Mytilus edulis: one gene and its partner. The protein of the gene in region 2 interacts with the protein of the main gene of each other region in a pairwise test. Links are inferred from orthologs where the notes say so. Each region holds a gene or a part of one and is shown on either strand. Other genes may lie near its edges. The genes, in order: G patch domain and ankyrin repeat-containing protein 1-like and E3 ubiquitin-protein ligase TRIM23-like.

What was found.
Region 1: the proteins of E3 ubiquitin-protein ligase TRIM23-like (region 2) and G patch domain and ankyrin repeat-containing protein 1-like interact in binary tests that used the Homo sapiens proteins (3 or more experiments, as listed by UniProt). The link is inferred for Mytilus edulis from reciprocal best matches to the Homo sapiens genes TRIM23 and GPANK1.

What each region holds. Positions count from the first base shown.
Region 1 is NC_092352.1:27,816,753-27,825,034, reverse strand, and holds the start of G patch domain and ankyrin repeat-containing protein 1-like, read right to left. Parts: upstream 3,136-8,282; 5' UTR 3,023-3,135; intron 1-3,022. Other genes in the region: collagen alpha-1(XIV) chain-like, read right to left, coding at 7,805-8,001.
Region 2 is NC_092344.1:72,201,410-72,209,063, reverse strand, and holds the start of E3 ubiquitin-protein ligase TRIM23-like, read right to left. Parts: upstream 3,036-7,654; 5' UTR 2,885-3,035; coding exon 2,804-2,884; intron 1,716-2,803; coding exon 1,419-1,715; intron 568-1,418; coding exon 289-567; intron 1-288.

The DNA of each region.
Region 1 (8,282 bases), on a different chromosome or scaffold from region 2:
GTGGAATAAGACATAGGGTGTGCTTGACTTTAGTGAATCAGCACAAGGTATTTTGGAATTTACAGGTTGCTTAGAATTTTTTGTAAAAAATAAAAACTAGCACATCATAGAAAAGCAAGTGAGTAATCTATGTTTCAAATATATAACAAACATCTCTGTAATAAAGTCTGTGGATTTTCTATAAAAATCTTAGTTTATTTGTCACATAGTACTCTTTTTCTATTAAATGCAATGAAACAATAAATAATAGTGGTTTGCATCAAGTTTCCTCTCGGTATATGTACAAAATGGCCTACATGTATCTCTATTATTCATTATATCTGTAGTTTTGATACAATTGAAGTTTGAAAATTCTGTACAAAAATGGCTACAGAAGGGGTCATAAACCTTGAAGGTTTTACCCATGTCATTTTTGGGGCTCTTTATAAATTGCTGTTCACCTTGGGCCTAGGCTCTGTGTTGTAGGCCACAGTTTGACCTACATTGTAAGTCTTTACTGGTTTGCAGTTCATTGATGTATACCTTTCCTTTCCTCTATCTTGATATATACATGTATATCATTAACAGAAAGCTTAATACTAAAATTTATGATAAAAGAGATGATTTCTCATTTCCTATCATTAATTATCCATTTTTAGATGGTGACGTTCCCTTGTCACCATCTTACGGTGTTTATATATCTCAACTTGTACGATTCGCTCGTGTTCATGTATGTAACAATCATGACAATGTTTTAGATTTTAACGAGAGAAATTTATGTATTTCTGAAAAATTATTACACCAGGGTTTTCGATATCACAAACTACATATACACAATGTAGTCAAAACATTTACTAAATTTTATCATCGATATAAGGACATCATTCGTAAATATAGCTCAACATGCAGACTTCTTATACGTTCAGGTATTTCACATCCAATATTTTATGGAAATATTCATGATATTCATTATAAAGCACAAAAATGTCAGTATTCACCTCAGAAGCTAACAAAACCTTAAATAGACTTATTAAGAAGGGATATACATGTAGTTACGATACTGTTGTCAGGTCATTAAAGATTGCATATTTTGGCGTTAATATTGATTCACTTATAAATAGGGTCTTTGCATCGGAACTAAACACATTTATCATAATAAACCTGTTGTTGGCATGACATGGGTTATGTTCTTCTCATATATGTATTGATGGTATGATACTAAACCCCTCACGGGGAGGATTGTGTCTGATATTCATATGATGAAGACATAATTTTCAATCAGTTTAATTGAAGTCTGGAGCTGGCATGTCAGTTAACTCTAGTAGTCTGATGTTATTTATGTATTATTGTCATTTTGTTTATTTTCTTTGGTTACATCTTTCTCACATCAGACTCGGACTTCTCTTGAATTGAATTTTAATGTGCGTACAATGTATTGTTATGCGTTTACTTTTCTGCATTGGCTAGAGGTACATATGGGGGAGGGTTGAGATCTCACAAACATGTTTAACCCCGCTGCATTTTTGCGCCTGTCCCAAGTCAGGAGCAATCTAATTAAAAACCGATCTCTCATCGCTCCTGTTACTGATATGTCGCGTGGGAGATCTAAAGAAACCCGCTTTGAGGTCACATGTGAGTGACCTCGTAGGTGTGTCTTTTTCAACCAATGAAATTGAGTCTTCCACGATCTTGGAAGTTTAACGTAAGGCAAAGGGATGTAACTCATTTTATTTACGACGAAATCGTCAGTCAAAATAATTCATAAACTTTTTTGATTGGCTTATTAATAGGTCGTCAACTCATTTGCATATCTTTATAAATTCATAACTTTTAGTTCACTCACATGTGACCTCAAAGCCGGTTTCGTTAGATCTCCCACGCGACATATCAGAAACAGGAGCGATGAGAGATCGGTTTTTAATTAGATTGAGTCAGGAGCCTCTGGCCTTTGTTAGTCTTGTATTATTTAACTTTTAGTTTCTTGTGCACATTCCCCATTTCCATTCTCAATTTTATTTAGCACAATTATACTAGGACCACCTGAGGTGACTGAGGGTATCGGGACCGTTCGCCCTAATAACATGTTCGCCCTAGGTCCGTTCGCTCTGAGTTCGTTCGCCCAGAGTCCGTTCGCCCTACTATAAAAATATTAATATTCAGGGCATTGACGTTGAATAAACTAATTCAGATATTTCTATGGTATATAAATCATGTATATTCTTGAAATTTATGGAAACATTGAAATATTTAAAAGTTTATGGCTTGTTTTTGATCATTAATTGTTCAATCACAAAATAATTCGGATAACTGATTATTGTGAAACTTGTCTTTTGATGGATTTATAATAAAAACAAACGTTTTATTTTGATAAAATATTCAGCTTGAAATTAATAAAACTAATGATGTACGAACTGTAAATTATGAAACGGATTTACAAGTTCATTTATTTATACTGCATACTTTCGTGATTGACTCACTGATTACAATTATTTTGTTAACAAATATCAATAAAGATAAATACATTGTATTCCAGTATTCTACTCTGCAAATCAAAGGGAAAATGATAAATTGATTGCGGCAATATAAATATTCTGTCAATTTTTCAACAAACTTTAACATAATTTGTTCAAACACTTAAAATAATGCGACTAGACAACAATTAGAAAAAAATAATAATCAGGGCAAATGGACCCTGGGCGAACAGGTATCAGGGCGAACAGGTACTTGGGCGAACATGAATCAGGGCGAACGGACCCGGATTCGTGACTGAGTGAAGCCAGACCAGGAGTCAATTTCGCAAAAAAAAATTTCGACTAATATTGGTAGTAAGTCATGGCCAATTCAGTATACTTACGACCAATCTTAGCCGTAAGTTTTTTTTGTGAAATCGACTCCAGCTGACCAACTCACCTGTTTTGTGTTATGCTGTTATGTTAACTAAGGCAGAACCATAGTTTACGTTGAGATATTGTCTCATTCATGTATACAAAACATTTCATTAACCCCTATGACTGATATATATCATAACAAATGGAAATCTTACATGTATGCTGCTGTTAATCTTTAAATTGGTTTTCCAAACGTTATCAAAACGACTTTTATTTACACCGGAAGTGTCTAATGTAATTTCGGGATCAACAACGGACGTGAAGTGAGCTCGAAAATCCGAACCTTACTTTTCTCAGACTTTTGTAGATCTTATGCATGACAGGGACTTTCTTTCTATCCTTAACTACAGTATAGAAAGTTCCTGTAAGTAGTATTTCGTAACTTAAAAAAAACACCATCCGACGTATTTTACAAGTTTGTACACATTTTGTTAAGATGCCTGTTATATAAATAAGCTTGTTAAGATGCCTGTATATATAATATTACAGACTAGGGGAATAGCTCTGGTAGCATGGATGGAGGCGATTACATACGGACACATAAAAACACATCAGCTTCCATTTCTACATTTTAATCAGACAAAGATGACGTCACAAACATAAATACAAAATACTGGCAAACGGGGAACAACTCTCTCTTACACACAGAAACATAATCCGACCATACATACTGATATATAACAATAAAGAAAGATGTAAAAATAAAAGGCTTTTTTATTTTTACATCTTTCAAGTTTACTATATTTTATTTTTTCATTTACATGTTGTGACGTTACGCACGTTATTGCGTCAATACCGTGTACAACTTCCAAGCCAGCAAGGACCGAAGCTCATAAACGCAGGACTTCGGGAAAGTTCGGAGAGCCGACAACCTTGCTTCGGAAGTTGTACCGTGTAATCAACAGTGGCGGATCCAGAAATTTTCATAAGTGGGGGCCCATTGACTGACCTAAGAGGGGGCCCGCTCGAGTCACGCTTCAGTGATTCCCTATATAAGCAACCAATTTTTTTCCCAAAAAGGGGGGGGGCGGGCCCCCTGGGCTCCCCTCTAAATCCGCCTCTGATCAACCAGTCCACGGCCTTATAAACAGCTTTTCTATAAAATCATAATAGTTAAGTTATATAAAATTTATATCCATAGACTTGACAGGTAAATACTATTCCGAAAAAACTACAAACTGTTTTATCATAATTTACAATAGTCTAAAATAAGGACAATATGTTGACAAAACGTCAAAAATGTGTGTGTCAAACGTAACCGTTGATATCATAGTACACGCATAATAACTTTAGCAGGGGTGTTTTTGTTCTTCAAAACAGTGCTATATCCGCGAAAATTCGAATGCATGATATGCTTAATTTTTAAAGTATTACAATATTACTGAATATGCGTTCCTGTAACGACCAATGCATCTTCGCTAGCCAAGGGTTACGATCCACTCTCGCTCTCTTCACTAGCCAAGGGTTACGATCCACTCTCGCTCTCTTCACCTTTGGCGGATTGAGCCAACATTTGTGAAAACAATGTTGCGCCATCTGTCGGAATATTTAAGTCACGCCCAATCCGAATACATTATTCTTGACCAATGGTAGCACTTGAACTCTTCAATTTGGAGGTAAAAACACGGTAGTTGTATAAATTCTACACACTTGGTTCTAAAGCCGGAAACGAAAATTTACGTCAACATTCATTGTGCATGAAACATACACAGGAACTTCTATTAGTTGATTAAAAACATTCAAGTTGTCACTAAATATAGTCGTATGTTTACGGATGTAAAGACTTGTTGCACAATAAACACGTGGCAATTGTTTACAAACACTTTCTACATTTTCACGCGATCATGTTCAAGGCGCTTTTTGATTGGATGCAGCGAGTTTCGACTGCAACCAATAAAAATCCTTACCCTGTGTCTCCGAAATGTTATCTCAATCCGCCAAGGGTGAAGAGAGCGCGGGTGGATCGTAACCCTTGGCTAGTGAAGATGCGACCAATGCTATCTTTTGGCAAAAACAAATAGTGTTCATTATGGTCAGATTTAGGAAAATGTTAAGTTTTCTGTACCAAGTCAGGAATATGACAGTTCTTGTCCGTTCACTTTGATGCGTTTTGTTATTTGATTTTGCCATGTGATTATGGACTTTCCGAATTGATTTTCCTCTGAGTTCAGTATTTTTGTGATTTTACTTTTTTTATCAAAATTTATAGGTTTTAAAATATAAGATTATATGACATTTCCGTTTGTGCAAATTATGCTCACAAAAGTTCATAGATAGACCATGTCAAAATCAAGTTTTTGAAGCACTCACACCACATATAAAAATGCAACGGCTTCAAGCAAATCCCACGTCTCAGTCATTACAGCTGAACGGACGTGCTGGGCCAGCTCTCCTTTACCCGCTATCTTCGATGAGGGTTTACAGTTAGATGAACAACGACATACTACTTAAGATGACAGAAACCAATCCATGCCGTACAGATAGACGTAGTAGTTGGCGTACCCGCGTTAACATGCACTTCAAATCCATTGTATCATGGGGAGTGTTATGCCGATTAACGTCCGAGGGCTGTATCCTAGGCTGTTGGGTGATACGACCTTCATTTCACTGCCTCACGGCTTTGGTTCTGATAACGCTTCCTGTCATCTTTAGAACTACGTCCACCATTCATCTACCAGTACTCACTCATCGAGGTTAGCGGGCTGCCAAGCTGACCAAACTGGCCCTGAAAGCAGCCGTTGTGAAGAAGTAAAATCCAAAATAGTCAAAAACCAAAAACAACTCACCAAAACCAAGATGGCGGCCTCCATATTGCGACCTCCACTACTTGTTCCTGACCCATGGCATCAAAATATGATAAAGCTCACCAAACGCCTTCGGGCACCGAGCCGACCGTGCGAGGGCTGTATAGCCAGTCAAGGTCGTTAAACACCACCACATATACAAATGTCTTGCAAGATGTCCAATCTCAGATTTTGCCGCTTTTTACTAATAAACTATCATTTGTGACGTTATTTATTGAAAATTTAGATTTTTTGCATGTTGAATAGTGCTTTTTCGTAATTGTACTTTAACTCTACTAAACAGCTAAATACTTTTTGATATTAATTTGCGTTGTCAAAACGACTTCGTTTTCAAAGAATTGAAATGTCTAGCAAGTTTGTCCACTGGACGATTTTCATACGTTTTCAACGTTTTCGATTCGGGACGCTATTTATGGTGGATCATCTGTATATATTTTACAAAAATTTTCTTGATAGTCAGTTAATATCAACAAGATCACACAGTATAAAAAAAAAAATCCAATGACTGGGGTTGTTCGTTTTGATGAGGTTCTTAATCAAACGCCACACGTGAAGACATTCAGCGTGGAAAGAAACATGCAAAAACGAAATTTGAACTTCCAGGTCTGTTACTAAAAACATCTTTCAAGTTTAATGTAAAATTGTCGACAATTTTTTCACTTAAACAAAGTCATCATATTGATAGATTGATTGTTGTTTCATTAACGTTCAGTGTCAAATATTTCATGTATGTTCAGGACGGACATAAATACCAGGCTTAATCTTTTGTACGTCAGATGCCCATTTTGTCTACAAAAGATTCACCAGTAACACTCAAGGAATAAAATTCCCTGTTTTACGGCCGGCTATACAGTATAGATTGGTTTACGATCTTCTGATTGTTGAAGGCCGTGTGGTGGCATATAATTGATCTATACCACTCAATTTTATTTGAACTCTGGTGCAAAGTTGTTCTATTGTCAATCATACCTAATCTCAGCATATACATGTATGCCGTGTATACAATACCCGACAAGTTTATGCGACAGCAATGATACTATTTTTGTTTTAGTAATGAATATCATTGACTATATAAGTTATCTTTGAAAAAACTTGATAAAAACCAACGCAACGACTACCAGTATAGTATACATATAGATGCCAAATTGTAAGCATGTGGTATAATGTAATTGCTCCTTCTTTGACAAAAAAAATAACCTAGTTTAAGATCTGGATGATATCCTTGCCTTTTTTAATTGCTATAATTATAGATAGTATGTCCAATTTTGAAAGAAAGAAGTAAATCGAATCCTGATATAAATCCTATTGTAGTTCTAAATCGCATATCAAAATTAATGGAAAGACACATATCAGTGCAATTTTATGATTGTTTAAATAGTAAACTGGTTTTGACAGTCAGGATTCAGACATATGCATAAAATCATTATAGATACAATGCCTAAATTTTATACGCCAGACGCGTGCCCACAAAGACTCGCCAGTGACGCTTGCATAAATAAAACCACCAAAAGGCCAAATAAAATACAATGCTTTCAGGACATAAAGTTCTGGAAGGTTTTACCAAATACCACAATGGTGATCTATTCCAGATGTAGTAGCATTCGTGTGTCACTGCACTTACCCAACTCATAGAAGACTGCTTAACAAACCACCATGACAAACAATTATTCATAACAGAATCGAGTCCGGAATCATGACTGAAGTTCTATTCTTAGATTTAAAAAGGAATATGATTCGTTATCTGATCTGAACGTATCTTATATTGTTCCTTTAGCACTCCGAGAAATTGAGTAATTTGATTAAATAAAAAGTGCAGCGCAACTACATTGTATTGGGAGCAATTTCCAATTGGATAATATGGCTTGTGCTATTTGTTTGTTCTGATATGAACAAAATAATTACAATGACAACTTGAAACTACGATCAGAATGAGTTTTACACTGGATGAACCTAGTTATTATCAAGATATTTTCGGAGAGATGAACTTCTCATTTGAGTTTATTTGCTTTTGTGTCTCAATTCATTTAGCTGACAATAGCGAAACGATTCTGTTTGTTTGTTTAACTCCATTCAAAAATATTTTAATTATAAACACATGTATAACATGTACCGATAAAATAACTAGATGTTGTATTAGAAGCAGTCTATTTCTGGTACTTCATCACCAATGGCCCTTAGTGCTTCTTCGTCGATGTCATCACTTATGCCCTTGGTAAACAGTTTGATACCCTCAGATTCCAATAATTCCACCTCAGAGTGTGTTTCCTGTTCATTTGTGGATTTCCCGTCTGTGACTAAGATAACAATTTTTTCCATTTTTTTGCGATATCCTTGTTTGGTTTAAAGTGGAAGAAAAAAAAAGAGTCGTGAGAATATCAATCAGATATATTAATATTTTATTCTAAAATGTATATCATGTTTATATTTTAATTATTTTATCATTAACATATCATCCTTTATCATTCCAACTTTTAATCTCCATTTGATAATTAAAACAGCGTTAAAAATGCACCAAAAATGCATATTCAATTTGTCTTAAAATTTATGATTTTTAGTTTGCATCTTCCTCATATACTAAAATGGATTGTTCACAATAGCTTCAATATAATGT
Region 2 (7,654 bases):
ACAAAATTGATTTTCCCGATAAGATGAAAAAATATTATGTCTAATAACTGCTCAAATAAAGAACAAAAAAGGCTTTTCCTTTTTTTTTTTACGGTTAGTACAAAGAAGAAAGGACTTCAAGATCTGATGCATAACAAATATCAACTAGAATTCCCTCTCCTCTCTTGATGAGTGTTTGGTGAGCCTCACAGTTCAGCCTGGTTTTACATTTAACAATAAATTATTATTATAAAAGACATTTTATGGTTATTTTGCTTAATATTTAAAATACAGTATAAGTTTTATTACCCTATGTTTAACATGTCTACCATAATCTTTACATATATAACACATCAAAGGATTATTTTTGCAATCTTCTTCTAAACAAGCAAATTCTACTAGATGCATGGGATGATAAGGACATTTTGGATTCTCTTTTGGTTTTTCAGATAATGGAACTCTTTTGTGTCTTGCTAATGTTCTTGTGGAATGTGTCAGTTCTGCACACTCTACACATAAGTGTGTACTACAAGTCATACAATATAACACAGCTGTGTGAAGTTCATTCTCGTCACATGGAATATCCAACTGTAATAAGAAATCATTTTAATATAATTACATTAGATGTATGTTTCATTATAATATTTTATTCTGATTGGCTAACTGCACATCACGTGTTATTCCGTAAGCAGTTGCATTGCTCAATACAACTTTTCACTCATGATAACACGTGCTCCAACAATAAAGTGCACAGGTGAATTAAATAATAAAATTTATTAAATTCGTGTTTTCATGATCATAGCTAAAAAATGTAATTATAAGTATTAAATGCTTCTTTTTGTAACTTTATAGGGTTGTAAAAGCGTTGACCGTGCATACATTTTTATGTACAAAATGTACTTTGGTCAACGCTTTTACACCCCAATAAATTTACAAAAAGAAGCATTCAATTCTTAAATAAATACTTAAAATCTACTTTTGTTTTTTTTATGTTTTGTTTTGCATCAAAAAATTAACTGGTGCTTTTTTCATACAAGCATCTTTTTAATTAAACTATATCAATAAAAGCATAAATATTATTTTTATGTACATGTACAAAGGGAGATAATTCAGAAATATTATTCACAAGTTGAGCTATCAATGAATGTATTGAAAAACCTTAAAAGAATACAGAATCCATTAAACAGGTATAAATGATTAAAAGCAAAAGCATGTGTTCTTGCAAAATATTTATATGTATTTCTATTATTATTAATATAACTATCTCCTAAGATTTTTTTTTAAAATATGATAAATTTAATGAACAATATATTAATTACATCCTATTTACTTAGCATCAATGAATCATTTTACTTATAAATGTTAGTTGTATAGAAGTATGCTTGATTTTTCTGCATAATTATCATTATAAACTCAAACACATCAGTTTTGTATACTACCTCCTTTTCCTTATCTAAATTTTGTTGTGCAAATAGATTAATATTTGATGCATTTTGAGTTGTAAACTGTAATTTCTCTAGTAGTTCAAGCAATGCAAAATTTTTCTTCAATCCCCATACTCCAGAATCACCAATTTCTGTGGGCTGTCTGTCAAATGGACACAGGATAGAAGTACCATGAACTTGTAATCTGGTCAGACACTGATGACAAACAGTATGGCCACACATCAACAACCGTGGAACCTTGTCTCCTTGGAAACGGAACACATCATCACAAACTCGACATTCAAGTATTGTCTGAAAATAAAACCATATGCATGCAACATTAAAACTATATCAAAATGTATACTATCAAACCTACAAAGTATGATTCAAATTAATATTTCGAAGATCAAATCTATACAGTGGTAAGTTGGCTGATTGGTTTGGTTTGCAAGTTTGAGGAGGGATAGGACCTTTATCGGGACTCCGGGATCAGGAGTCGATTTCACAAAAAAACTTACGACTAAGATTGATCTTAAGTCATGAACAAATCAGTATACTTACGATAAATCTTAATCGTAAGTTTTTTTGTGAAATCGACTCCTGGTGTTTTTAAGCTCGGGATTTCAGGATTGACCCTTTCGGGATCTGGGAATTCTTTTTTTCGGATTACGGGACGTCAGGATTTGCTTAATTTAAATTCGAGATTTCGTGTTTTTAAGCCCGAGATTTCAGGATCAGGACCCATCCTATCCCCCCTCAAGTTTGTTTGTACCTGTAGAAAACTTATTTCAAACAGAATAGCACATCCTAATTTTTACATGAATGGTGTTTATCGAGCCCATAAATTTATATATGATCAGAGTAAACATATCAATCCCCTTAAATAAACTTATGCCAATCATACCACACCTTCTTTTCAATAATTATTCTAGAAGGTTACCAATTAAACACTTTAAATAGATCTAAGAATATTGTCTTTTATTTGTATAACTATTGATTTTGTTTTAAGTTAATTAAAATCATACTGATAATTGCTTACAGTAATGTACATCTACTTCGTTTATACTTCGTTGGATAGTTGTCTCATTTGCAGTCATACCACACCTCATTATTTTTATATAGCTGCAGACTAAACAGTCCCTTTCCAGTAATTTCTTAACATGAACATTTTGGTTAGATCCATCATTATAAAATTGAGATTTTCGCAAATCTTGTTGGAATGGTGCATCAACTGTTTTCATGTATTTCAATATTTATGATGTAAACCCTGACAGCCAGACAAATAACATGTATGAATACCTAACATTCAATCTCTAGACCAAGTATGTTCTTGGTTGGATGAAATAATTATCACTTCATAAATATGTAAAATCTGTAATAAGTAAAAGTTAGTAGCATACATGTCCAAACAATCCTCCTAAATAACTCATGCGATGTGCAGAATTGTGTTCTTGGGTAACTTGTTGAATATTTTTCAACATTATTGTTCTTGGATTAGTTTCGGTATTGCAGTAATATTTGTCCTATAATTTTAGAGTGTAAATTTATATTCACAATGGTAGCCGCAGAGAATGCATCTTATCGTTGTTTTTCTCCAATTATACAACATAACAGATGTTTCTGTTAAATATTGATATAACCAGAAAAAAATACATGTACATGTATGTTTCACCACATGATGTCTAAATATCAATACATTTTAGATGCACATTTGAGACTCAAAGTGCAAATAAACCTTAGGCTTTCTAGGAAATGTTACATACATGTAGATAGTCAAGTAGTGTGATAAGGTCTTCTATGCTTTTGGCAGTTGCATGGATCAGACAGAATTCCACTAAAGATTTCATAATCTGAATACATGTATACGTTAATGTATAATTCTAAATTAAAATGGTTTTATTTCACCAATTGCAATGTTTTGTACTTCTGTTTAAGTCTTTACTTTTTAAAACTTTAAGGGTTAAACTTACATCTGCTACATTTAAAATTCATTTCAAGAAAATATATTTCAGGTATAAGATAGTTTACTTCAATAAGATATTGAAAAGGTTACACACCTTTTTCATTTGAATGCTTTTGCATTGTGTTTTATTGTCAAATTTAAGAGGAACTTAAAAAAAAATACTGATATCATGTGCATGCTGTTTAAAAATATTGACATTAAACTTTTTATTTTTCTTAAACATGTTAAATGCAATTTTAATCAAGTCTTATTGAAGTTACAATTATTTCCAAAACACTCAGAGTATTTTAATAAACAGAAGAAAATACTTTGATTTGTCTGAAGTTTCTTTGACAAAATCTATGACCTGAGTCTCCATTTTCAATGCACACACTTTACTTCTTTAAAAAGAAATTGTTCATGTCTTTGAATTTCTTTGATCAAATTGGAAAATTAAAGAATTTTAGCAAGTGACTGTTTAAACACCTGGGGGCCTAGATATATCTTTTTGCAGTCAGGTAAAGCAATAAGACAGATGGGAATCAGGGGCGGATTCAGCCATTTTAAAAAGGGGGGTTCCCAACACAGGACAAAAGGGGGGGGGGGGGGTTCCAACTATATGTTTCCATTCAAATGAATTGATCTGCCAAAAAAAGGGGGGTTCCAACCCCGGAACCCCCTGGATCCGCCAATGGGAATGGATGTGACTTCTTTGCCTCTGTTGCCCACAAGACTTGTATCTCAACATATATATATCAGTACAATGGTACAGATGCAGGCTGGGGTTTGGAAAACAACCCTATACATACATGTATATTGACTCATGTTAAAGGGCTAATCCCTACACATTCATATATGTTTCATTATAAATAAAGTCACAAGTTATTTTTTTAATAAAACTGAAAATACTCCTTGTTCAAATCTAACAACTTAAATAATGGCAAAACAGATAAGACTATCTGAAAAGCGTATTTAAAACAATTAGATCATAACTTACAAGCAATAGGTAAACTATTTCGTACTGGATGTTGAAAGGTCAATTTATTTACAATCTATTCTTTTAAATTTCATCAATTTACATTTAATCAATTAAGTAAAATACAAAAAAAATAGATTAATCTTAAATATAAAATGTACGTACATGAACATAATTTGATGAAAATTTAAAAAGGTAGTGTAAATAAGGGTTGTAAGCAAAAAATGTTAGAACTGCGCTGTTTGAACTAGTAAAACATTAATTTCGAGTGTTTTCCTGAAGAAATAATGTCAAAAGAGCTTCTTCAACTCAATCATGTGTCAATTGTGCTTTGTTAATGTATACTGATTTTACATACATTGTATCTGTCTCTGGTCCATATTTTATCATTGTCAAAACATCACGTAGGTAATGTACATGTATTAGAAAACTGTTTTTTTTTTTAAATAGAAAGCAAAATTGTTGACAGCGTAATTTTCTACAAATAATTAATCTAAGGCAGATATCAATACACCTACATTGTATGTCAATGTATGTGGCACACTTCGAATGATGCACTGTCCATGGAACAGTTCATGTCAGAATATCAAATTTATATATTTTTTGCAAGCCCTGGAATATACAAAAATTGATAAGTTAGACCCCCAACTCACAACGTCATTCTCCTGCTTGTTGGTGAAACAAAGAAAAACGTGTTTCTATCATTTAAAATTGACAAACACAATCAGAGAAATCGATAATCAGATTTTTTTTATCATGTATTTAGAAATATTGTAAAACCCCAGTTGCTCGACACAATATATTTTCCTTTTGAACTTTTTGGCTTCGCTCAATTGACAAAAAGCTTCATATTGCAAATTGCAGCTATGCAGATCCATATAATCGGTACAGATACATGTACCTGACACTGTCTGAAGAAGAGATTTCCCGTAAATTTTATTTGTACATGGTATATCTTATAACCAAAAGCATTGCTGAATTATACCAGCAGTCAGAACTTTTTCCTTGTTAAGATTTTACCAGTGTCTAATCTTATATAGTGCCTTAATCTTAATATTTGGGATGGAAAGTACATGTATGTGAAACAATAACAAACTTTTATTGTCCTCATTTTGGTCAGTCTAAAATCTATGCATTCAAATAATCAACTGGATCTGCTGATATTGATATCTGAATTATGAACAAATGAAGGTCAATGAATCTTTGATGCTTAAAACATACCCTGTCTGTTGTTTCCTGGTTGTTCATTTCCAATTATTACAGTCTGTGGTCTCTTGTTTTTATTCCCCAACCATTTGTCCCAAGATAGAAACTAAATTAAATGCTGCATTTTCCGGGTACTATTATTTTTTTTCGATCATTTTGAAAATATCTTTACAAACCAATCTAGTTGTGCTGTTTGTCATTTAAATAAGGACTTTTATTTGTATGTAAAAAAACGACTTGAATGTGATAAATGGAGAAGCTCCCGCATATACATTTCACAGCTTCCCTAACTTAGCTTTCTCTATACCGGAAGTAGCTGAAGAAGATGGAAGGGGCAAGAGAGAAAGAACACCTTTTGGCGTTAAAAGGTAATTTTTACTGATTATTTTATTACTTAAGTGTTTAAATATTGAAGTAAAATACAAACATTTAATTAAATTAGTAGACAGTAGTGTTTCTAGACAGTGATATTCCTAGTAATTGGATATGTGACAGTGTATCGTCTGCTTGAGTTGAATAATTTTCCTCTGCTAATGATTTTTACTCAACGACAATAGAGACTAGGGTGTAAAAAAACAGTTACCATTATTCAGACAAATGTAGCCAAATGTAGAATAACTTTATTTGGAGCAAACTCTGAAGATAGATGTAGATGTAAAGATGATAAACTAATTGACTATCAACTGATCAAGGTTATTAATAAATTCACCACAGACAGTCTATACCTGGGACTATACACCTTATCACTATTTGTACGCCATTACTGGACATCACACAGGTTCCCGTAAAATTTTGATGTCAGGCAAAATATCTGACGCCACAATGAAAAAGGGATTGTTGTATGACGTCAATAGTTTCGAGCGGGACCGATTCTGGGGTCAGCCGGGACTAGCAATAAGGTGTATTATACTAACAGGACTGGAAACTGATTGATCCGTTGAGATTTCATTGCTCCGATAGTAAATTATTGATTCACAGCTGTCAGATCGTGTACATGTAAACAATAGAATTCGGCAAACAAGCCAGCATATTTAGAAAAACTTAAAATTGGTGGCTTTGAAATAAAGAATAATTATTAAATTAAATAGTTTAAAGGCAAAATAGATATTGTTTACAAAAAAATACTAATAAGTAGTCAATATATTAGTGTTGAAAATAAACCAGATATAGTCTAAAAGCCAGCACTTTAATTACTTGACCGCTAAGAAAACAACGCTTCAAAGGTTAACAGATCATAAATAATCCTGATAAAAACAATAGGTGTGCAATAAAACAACGTTGACAATTTCAATTCCTAATTAATTCATATATAATAACATAAGTTACCCTGGTTTCATGAAAATATAGCCACATTGTTTAAAACTTTTGTGAACTTCCCTGTTTACACCAAAATTTCAATATGGCTGTGCATGGTCGGGCCTACTTTTGTAGTTGTAATTGTGGAACCTAGTGTACATATTTTCACGAATTCATATGCTAATACCACCTGAAGACCATTACTTAGCAAAATTAACCCTGATTATAATAAAATATTGCACACATGAAAAGGAGTAGACGATTTTAAAGGACCAGTTAAATTTATTTGAGACGTGCTTGTGGGTTCCAGTTGTAAGGAGAAAGAGATTTTTCCCCACTTTTCACTTTAAAAAGTGACAATAATAATAGGCAAATCCAAATTATAACCTATAAATATGATTTTACCAAAAACCAAACTTGCAAATCTCTTTTCAATGAAAAGTTATAAGAAATTTAATGAATCATATACTTTTTTCCACATCGTCCCTATGCTATTTTCAAGCTTGAAAATTTCAATGTTTATATGTTATTTTTCGCAATAAAGGTGGGATTTGGTGATTAATACATGTAACAACAGTTCTGTCAAATATCAAGATAACTTTTATCATTATAGTAATCATGTTTATATTATAATTAAAGATTATCATTTCTAATAACTAAAAATGTATAAAATAAAAAAACAAATTACTGAAATTATAAGATCAAGGCACGCTGTCACTGTCAAAACAAAATGGTGTATCAATAAATAGCACAGGTAAAGTCTCATTCTAACGACTGTGATGTAGATATTATTACACTGATTGGTGTAACGGTTTCCAGTCCCATTGATAT